Callithrix jacchus: one gene and its partner. Each later gene encodes a partner of the first gene's protein in a complex. Links are inferred from orthologs where the notes say so. Each region holds a gene or a part of one and is shown in the gene's direction. Other genes may lie near its edges.

The links.
Region 2: the proteins of LTK (region 1) and ALKAL1 are in contact, whole or in part, in a crystal structure (PDB 7NX0), measured with the Homo sapiens proteins. The link is inferred for Callithrix jacchus from reciprocal best matches to the Homo sapiens genes LTK and ALKAL1. Residues at the interface, in NP_002335.2 of Homo sapiens: Tyr124, His140, Phe143, Ala250, Ser251, Pro252, Glu253, Leu359, Phe360, Leu361, Gln362, Leu364, Ala365, Val366, Glu368, Glu372, Glu374, Arg376; in NP_997296.1 of Homo sapiens: His93, Arg96, Leu97, Asn100, Thr101, Arg102, Glu103, Arg112, Arg115, Leu116, Arg119, Leu120, Ser123.

What each region holds. Positions count from the first base shown.
Region 1 is NC_133509.1:45,093,599-45,097,916, forward strand, and holds the start of LTK (leukocyte tyrosine kinase receptor), read left to right. Parts: upstream 1-1,285; 5' UTR 1,286-1,327; coding exon 1,328-1,376; intron 1,377-1,497; coding exon 1,498-1,641; intron 1,642-1,738; coding exon 1,739-1,910; intron 1,911-2,360; coding exon 2,361-2,811; intron 2,812-3,032; coding exon 3,033-3,447; intron 3,448-4,318. UniProt on the Homo sapiens protein: Receptor with a tyrosine-protein kinase activity. Following activation by ALKAL1 or ALKAL2 ligands at the cell surface, transduces an extracellular signal into an intracellular response.
Region 2 is NC_133517.1:2,002,330-2,006,566, forward strand, and holds the start of ALKAL1 (ALK and LTK ligand 1), read left to right. Parts: upstream 1-1,400; 5' UTR 1,401-1,574; coding exon 1,575-1,764; intron 1,765-4,237. UniProt on the Homo sapiens protein: Cytokine that acts as a physiological ligand for receptor tyrosine kinase LTK, leading to its activation. Monomeric ALKAL1 binds to LTK, leading to LTK homodimerization and activation.

The sequences.
Region 1 (4,318 bases):
TAACACAGGCAACCAAACTACATAAGGCAAACACAGAGATCCAAGTTTCGGGGGGTAGCAGGGAGGTTCAGCCTTGCAATCACAAGGGCAGCACTGAAAGCCACAAGCAATGGCAAGTAATGAGACCTTACTTGGGGCAGTTTAAAGAGTACTTCCCAGCTGGGCGCGGTGGCTCACGCCCTAATCCCAGCACTTTGGGAGGCGGAGGCCGGCAGAACACGAGGTCAGGAGTTCGAGACCAGCCTGGCCAACATGGTGAAACCCCATCTCTACTAAAAATAGAGAAAATAAATTAGCTGAGTGTGGTGGCGGGCGCCTCAGGAAGCTACTCAGGAAGTTGAGGCAGGAGAATCGCTTGAACCCAGGAGGCAGAGGTTGCAGTGAGCCGACATCGTGCCACTGCGCTCCAGTCTGGGTGACAGAGCAAGACTCTGTCTCAAAAAAAAAAAAAAAGTACATCCTATGTGTGGTCACGCGTGCCACACACCCACCACCACCACAAATGAAGTGCACCCTCCACTGATCCTGTCCTCAGGAACCTGGAAGCCCCACCTGGTGTCTGAGGCGTGGCTCCCGCTTTGAGAGTGGGGCACCTCCTTTCCGGCCTCAAACCTACCCAGCTCCCGGCTGGCTGCGGCAGATGTGACGACTGAAGACTAGAGCCTTAGGTGGGGACTCCTTAAGGCTCCTCCCGGAAGCGTAGGGACCTCGCTGCCCACACGCCCCGCCCTTTCCTCCTCTGGCGTCCTGGGGTCTGAGGTGGGCGTGGTCAGGCCGGCTTTAAGTCCTGGGTTAAGTCTTGCCAGCCGCATTACACCCCTGTAAGCTGCAGCCCGGGCCGCAGTGGCAAAGTGGGCTGTCAACTTCAGGTTGACGGGCGTGGCCGCGACCGCAAGGGCTGTTGCGGGGTGGACCCAACGGAGATGGGCCGCTGGGGCCTGCTGCTGGTATGGTTCGGAGCCGCGGGTAAGTGCTGTCTGTTGGTCAGGGGACGGTTCAGCCAGAGGCACCTTCCTAGGCTTGGGGGTGGCCGGTCGCAACAGGCCAGGTGTCAGTGGTTCCTCCAGAGCTCTGGAACTCTCACAACCAAATTTCTTGGGCCCGTGCTTCTGAAGTGCAGACGGAGAAGCGCCAAGCGCGTGTGAATCCCAGAGTCTGGATCACGCAGCCTGGGAAGGAGGAACATTCTTTGCGGTCTCAGCACCGCCTTGGGGCGGGGCCATCAATCTAAGTCGAGGAAAGCACGGGGAGACTGCAGAACCGAATTCTGTGCGGCCCCCAAGTCATTCACTGGGAAGGGCGCTCGAGGAGAGAAACTGGCAGAGCTATGAGCGAGCACCCGCGGGGCTTCTGCGACGGGAGTCCGGTGGTGACTTGTAGGCTGGGCAGGGTGAAGGGTGTGGCCGCGTCCTCAAGGGCTGCTGTTGCGGGGTTCTTTCTTTTATATCCTATTTCCACCCCCGTTAACATCCTGCGCCCTCTGCTAACACCTTTCAGGCGCCATTCTCTGCTCTAGCCCCGGGTCCCAGGAGCCTTTTCTGCCATCCTCGCCCCTGCCGCTGTCAAGTCCTAGCCCCCTGGACCCGAAAGTCAGGGCCCGGCCTAGTAGCTTGGAGCCAACCTCCCAGCTGAATTCTCAGGGTGAGCTCCAGGCGTCTCCCTCCTCTTCCGCTCACCATTCCAGACCCCTCTGGCCCAGCCAGGGGTCGACGATCCTTGCCTCGCTCCTTGCTCCCAGGCACCGAGAGGTCTTGGCTGTTTAATACCTGCGGGGCCAGTGGCAGGCATGGGCCCACACAGACACAATGTGACGGGGCGTACGCGGGGACCAGCGTGGTGGTGACCGTGGAGGCCGCCGGGCATCTGAGAGGCGTGCAGCTGTGGCGCGTGCCGAGCCCCGGCCAGTATCTGTAAGTGCGGGGCGGGGGTAGGGTGGGCAGTGACCTCGGAGTCGGAGGTTTCACCGTCAGGGGAATGAAGGCCACGTGTGCACCGCCTTGCGTCTTGGGGTATTGCCCAGAGAGGTCCACCCAGGCTGACCTTGAGTGCCCCTCAAGGTGGCAGTAATCGCCACCGTGTTAGACCGTACCTGGAACCTCTTCCACCAAGCGGAAGCCCCCCAACCAGGGCGGTGCCAAAGGGTGCTTGAGCCTCCCCACATCTCCACGAACCCTCCTGAAATAGTGTGATATTTAATTTTTCGGTGTGCAAAATCAGCTTTCCCATCCCGTCAGAGTCTATTGCAGCCTCCAAGTTCCTCAGATAAAAAATAATTCTGGAGCCTTCTCTATCGTCACCTTCTGCCCGTAGCGGCCGGCCTGAGCACCGAGGGCTGGGGTCTCACCGCCCGCTCTCCGCAGGATCTCAGCCTACGGAGCCGCGGGCGGCAAAGGCGCCAAGAACCACTTGTCGCGGGCGCATGGGGTCTTCGTCTCAGCAATCTTCTCCCTCGGTCTCGGAGAGTCGCTGTACATCCTGGTGGGGCAGCAGGGAGAGGACGCCTGTCCTGGAGTGAGCGCAGCCAGTGGGGATGGGGCGGCTCCGGCGCCGCGGGGTGAAGGCTGCCTGGGGGCCGGGGGGGATGAGCCTTCCTCGGTACCGGGTCACCTGCACAGCGAGGGGAGGCTCCCGGACCCCGCCGATTTCCGCCCCCGCTGCCCGCAGGGTAGCCCGGAGAGCCAGCTAGTCTGCCTTGGGGAGTCTCGAGCCGTTGAAGAACACGCGGCGAGGGATGGGAGCGAAGGGGCCCTGGCGTCGAGGCGCTGGGCAGGAGGTGGCGGGGGTGGCGGGGGCGCCACCTACGTTTTTCGGGTACGTGCTCCCTTCGGCGCTCAGCGTTGGGGTCCCTATCCTCTCCTCAGGGGCGGGCACGCACGCACTCTACGTCCATCTCTTAGGGTCCCTCTAACCCTGTGATGGGCTTCGGGGGGGTCTTGCCTTTATCCGGACCCCCAGGGTGGGAGCCCTTGCCCAGTGCCAGTGCCCCTGGACGGCAGGAGGAAGCGTCCTGGAACGCGCCGCTGGCCCCACAGGTGCGCGCCAGCGAGCTGGAACCGCTGCTAGTGGCTGCCGGAGGTGGCGGTCGGGCCTACCTGAGGCCGCGGGACGGAGGCCGGACTCTGGCCGCCCCCGAGAAACTGGAGAACCGCTTGGAGGCGCCCGGGAGTGGCGGGAGAGGCGGGGCAGCAGGTGAGGACGCGGCCCGCGGGGAGAGGCGGGAGTGCTCTCCGTGTGGCTACCAACCTTCCTGCTGTCGCTCTGCAGGTGGAGGAGGCGGCTGGACGTCGCGGGCTCCCTCTCTGCAGGCCGGCGGCTCACTGCAGGAGGGGGCGGAGGGCGGCCAGGGCTGCCCCGAGGCTTGGGCGACGCTCGGCTGGGCCGCGGCCGGCGGCTTTGGGGGCGGCGGCGGGGCCTGCACTGCGGGCGGAGGCGGCGGCGGCTACCGGGGTACGTATACGGTTGGAGAGGGCAGCTGAGCAGGCCCGAAGGTGACATGAGATTAGAACCTCAGCACAGGCTGCAGCCCTCAGGAGGATAGGAGTGGGAAAGGCATTAAGACCCGCTCAGCAGCTCCAGGCAAAGCAGGAGCTTTTAGAAAAGGTAAAATACACCACAAATCGGCATGCAGACAGGACTCCCTAGATTTCCATTCAGTCCAAGGTATTTCCCATCACAGCAGGTCCCTGCCTTGTTCTGCAGCTGTCCCCAGAACTTAGAGCTGACCAAGTGTGCAAGCTGAGCAGGGAGGCAGAAAGGCATGCCTGGGTTAAGTCAGTGGTTCTCAAAGTGTGGTCCAGGAACCGGTAATATCCACACAGCCTAGGCTGTTCAAAATGCAAATTATCTATCAGCTTGGTGAGGGGGCTCAGCCTGTAATCCCAGCACTTTGGGAGGCTGAGGCAGGAGGATCACCTGAGGTCGGGAGTTTGAGACCAGCCTAATCAACATGGAGAAACCTCATCTCTACTAAAAATACAAAATTAGCTGGGCATGGTGGTGCACGCCTGTAATCCCAGCTACTCTGGAGGCTGAGGCAGGAGAATTGCCTGAACCGAGGAGGCGGAGGTTGCAGTGAGCCGAGATCTCGCCATTTGCACTCCAGCCTGGGTAACAAGAGCAAAACTCTGTCTCAAAAAAAAAAAAAGAAAAAGAAACAGAGGCTGTGTACCTGTGCAGGCTGTACTGTTCATATATACACACATCATTCACATCCTCACAGAAAGGGACTGTGAGGACATGGGACATGAGGGGCTTAGGCAGGCAGGCGGTGTCCCTGCCAGCCTGAGCTAGGTCTTCAGGCTCCAGCTGATTACCCACT
Region 2 (4,237 bases), on another chromosome or scaffold:
GTCTGTGACCTTCATTCTACTCCTAACCTGCTTTTTCTAGGAAGACTCTTCCGCGTCTCCCACGGTGGGAGCCATTCTCTTACACCACCGTGTTTGCCTAGTAAAAACCAGATTCCTACGCTTGCTCAACAGTGAAACGATTGGAAGAAGCTGTCTTCACCTGTGTCATAACTTCCTCAAAAGAGCTTCATCCAAAGGCACGATTTCACAGGCTCCTGCAAAGCTCGCTTTGTTTCTGCAGTTTCTCAGGCACGTTGGCAACGCCAAGCGTAGATAAACTATTTGAAGGAGTCGAGGTCATTTTTCAGGATCTGTGACCGACAAGATCCCTTTTTGTAGAGTAGTTAACGTTGGGCGATGCCTAGGGGCTAAGAAGCCTCAGTGCCCTTAGCTATTCCTGCCTTCGTCTTTCCACCTATCTGCCCTTCGCATATGAGGAGATAATTAGTAGTCAATTGATTAGAGAGCAATTTCAACATTTTCCAATATACTTAATATAAAGCAACAAAGCAGACGGCTGAAATGACTAAAACCACGACAGTTCACAGAGCGCGGTTTCATCAGAGATGCTCGCTTTATTTTAATCAGAACTCGCCTTAATTTCAGTTTGTAAGTTGTTAACACTAAAACTCTTTAGAGTTAGAGTTTGAAGAGTTCCCTAACTTGAAAAATCCAGCCGGCTGCTTTCCTGGGCGCACTGGTCAACGTTGGCGATGTCACCGGGGGGAAGTATCGGAACCCGCCACGCCCCACCAGGGAGGCCAGGGAAGCTGGTCCCGGTGCCCTCGACCTCCTCGGTTCTCCGCTTTCCAACCCGGGAGATATCGCGGTGCCGCACCCAGAGGGCAGGTCGGGCCCCCTCCTGGGGCAGGGGCGGCGGGCGCGACGGCGGGGCCAGCATTCCCGAGCAAGCAGGAGCTCGGCAGGAGAGCGCACCCGCACCTTTGCGCCCAAGGCACCGCGATCCCCGCTCCTCCTGGCCGCACCCCTGCGCCGCCTTCTTCTGTCCCGACCTAGGCGCGGCGGGTTCTACAGACCCCGCCAACCAAGGGAAGCCGCGACGGACCCCGAGGCTGAGCGGGAAGGGCAGGCGAGGGCGGGAGACAGAGCTCGGGGAGAACCGCTGGGGCGATGCGGCGGGTACCCTACTGAGTCCTCCCAGGGACGGCGACCGGAGAGCGAGCCCGGGGTCCGGGTCCGAGGCAGGCGTCGCGTAGGAAGCCCTGAGACCCGCTGAGTCCGAGGCTGGGGTCCACCCCGGCAGGCAGCGCGGACTTCCGAGGGTCCCGCACAACGGGACACGCCCTCATCGGGGGACGACACTGCCGCCCCAGGCACCGCCTCCCGTTCCCGCCCCCGCGCCCCGTAAGTAAGTTACCGCACGCTGGGGGCCGGGTCCCAGAGCAGCTCCAGCCGAACCCCGGACGCACACGAGGGTTGGCGCGCGGCGAGGACTGCGGCCTGCCGGGTAGCCGCGCCCTGGGTCCCGCTGGTCCTCTCCTGGGCCGCGCACTCTCCAGACCCGCGTCAGGATCCTCCGCGAGCCCCCTGCTCTCTCCTCCCGGCGTGGGAACATGCGGCTGCCTAAGCCCGGCACCCAGCTGCCCGCGCTCCTCCTGCTGGCGCTGGCTTTGTCCCCCCACGGAGCTCACGGGAGGCCCCGAGGGCGCAGGGGAACCCGCGTCGCGGATGAGGAGCCCAAACCGTTGCTTGTCCTCTCCGCGGCCGGAGTCGGCCGCGCTCCCAGCGGCTTCCAGAGCGCAGGTATGATGTCCAAGTCCCGCCCCATCCTTTGCCCTGCGCCTGGGGCTTCCTGGATTCCCTTGGGAGCCGGTCGAGGCACGGGTTTTAGGAAGCCTGAAATTAGTACAGCAGAGAACAGAGCATCTCTGCAGATTCCCAGCTCCCTGAAAGAGGTCATGAGCGTATTAGATTTACCAAGGTCGAGACTTAAGAAATCAGACTGGCAACGGGACCAGCTTTTTATGTCCCTCCTCAGGTGTGGGAGGCCTTTTTGGAAATAAACTGGTAGAGCAGCCCAAAGACATGGGTTTCAGTCCCACCGGGCGAGGGTAGTGGACAGGTTAGGTCCCTGTCAACGCCTCATTTCTGGGTCTTCCGGGGTTTTGAGAATTAACTAAGATTGCTGCCCGCAGACACCTGACCGTGCCAGGAACGCCCCGTTCTTCTCCCCCTCACGCTGGCCGCAGGGAGTGGTTGAGGACGCGCCAATTTCAGCAGACGGCGACTTATGTTACAGGGACCGTTCCCGGATTATTTTAGAAGGGCGCAAGACGCAGGCGGCTGCTCCCAAATCAACTTTGGACAGTTGGCTTCCTGCTACTTAGATGCCCGAGGGGAGTGGAAGGAATGAGGAAGGAAGAAGTCGCCGCTCTAGAGGGTCATGAGACACCCACAGGCAGAGAAGTCGCGTGAATGCGGGGAAAACGGAAAAGCCCCTGGAAAAGGGGGTTCGAGGGGGCGGCCGGGCACGTGGGGAGGCGCTGGAGGGAGGAGGGCAGGATGCGCAGGGAAGGAAGGTGGAGACAGAAGCGAGAAGCTCCTCGCACGTGTCTGTTCGCACCCAGCAAGAGCAGAGCAAGGTGGAGCTGCCCGCAAGGCTGGGACAGAAGGGACCCTTCGCAGGGGCACTTGGTGGCCTGCACTGGACTTGGGGAGAGAAAGCCCAGGATGGCCTGGGGATGCCCCGCAGCTAGCGGCTGGCTGTGGGACCATAGCTCCTGACCCCTTCCCCTCAGGCTTCACGGCTAAAAAGGCAAACAAGGGTTTCTTAGTGCCATTTTTCTTTCACAATAATTGTAATATAAATATGTACTTATTCACTCCATAAACTTTCTTCAAGTTCCTATCTGTCGCCACTCAGAGGGCGGAGGCCACCCAGAAGAGCAGACGGCAGTGTCTTTGCTCTCCCGCACACCTGGGTGTGGAGGGAGGGGCTGGTACAGACTTGCACTGAGTGAGCAGGTTTTCTGCCCCGGGGAGGGGATGGAGAAGGCGGGAGGCTGAGGTGGGCTGCCCAGCCGGTGTGTGGATGACCTGGGCAGAGCCTCGCAGTCCAGCCGGCCACTGGGGAGCCCTCAGGACGGGAGGGCACAGGGTCAGTGTCCGCAGCACAGCCATGCAGCTATGGTGCACACGGATCCTGCGCTTTGACTTAAAATTATTCTAGCCTAAGATATTTATCTCAGAGAATAAAATGTCAGTTTGGAATGTGAACGGCCTGGGAGAAAGGCTCTCAAAGCACAGGAGCAACAGGGCACACATTCAGTCAGACCTTCTGTTTCATTCAACAATCTTTTCTCTTTGATTCAAAGACAGTGAAGACTTACTGAAGTGAGTTACAGGGATTAAACAATATTTTATTTATGTATTTATTTATTTATTTTGAGACGGAGTCTTGCTCTTGTTGCCCAGACTGGAGTGCAATGGTGCGATCTTGGCTCACTGCAACCTCCGCCTCCCAGGTTCAAGCCATTCTCCTGCCTCAGCCTCCCAAATAGCTGGGATTAGAGGCCCGCCACCATGCCCAGGCTAATTCTTTTTTTTGTATTTTTAGTAGAAACGGGGTTTCACCATGTTGGTCAGGCTGGTCTTGGACTCCTGACCTCAGGTGATCTTGCCTCGGCCTCCCAAAATGCTGGAATTACAGGTGTGAGCAACCGCACCCGGCCAACAATATTTTAAAGTTAAAAGTGGCAACCCTCTGAAATTTTAAAAAACAATATGGTCAGACACAAAGTGCCCTGTGGGTGCCTTGAAAGTCATTGCTTTCTGTGAATGTAGTCTTACCTTTTGATTGCTTGTACTATATTCACAGGGAAGAAAAGGGTGGCCCATGACATCCGTATCTGAGTCTGTGAATGGAATACTTGGATCGGGGACAAACAAGGGCTCGAGAATACAGAGGACAAGGTCCTCTCTGGATGGTCTCATGGGGCACACTCAGCAGGTGGCAGGGGTTACATTCATTCAGGAGGAGAATATCCCCCAGGTGCTGGAGGGATGTCCTAAGTGCTATGTCTTGTGATTTCTAATAGATTTAAAAACAAAGTAGGGCAGGGGTTGTACCCTGAACTTTAAGTCAAAAGAATAAAAATTAATTACTACATTAAAGAATTACTCATGGCGGGGTGCGGTGGCTCATGCCTATAATCCCAGCACTTTGGGAGGCCAAGGCGGGTGGATCACAAGGTCAAGAGATCGAGACCATCCTGGT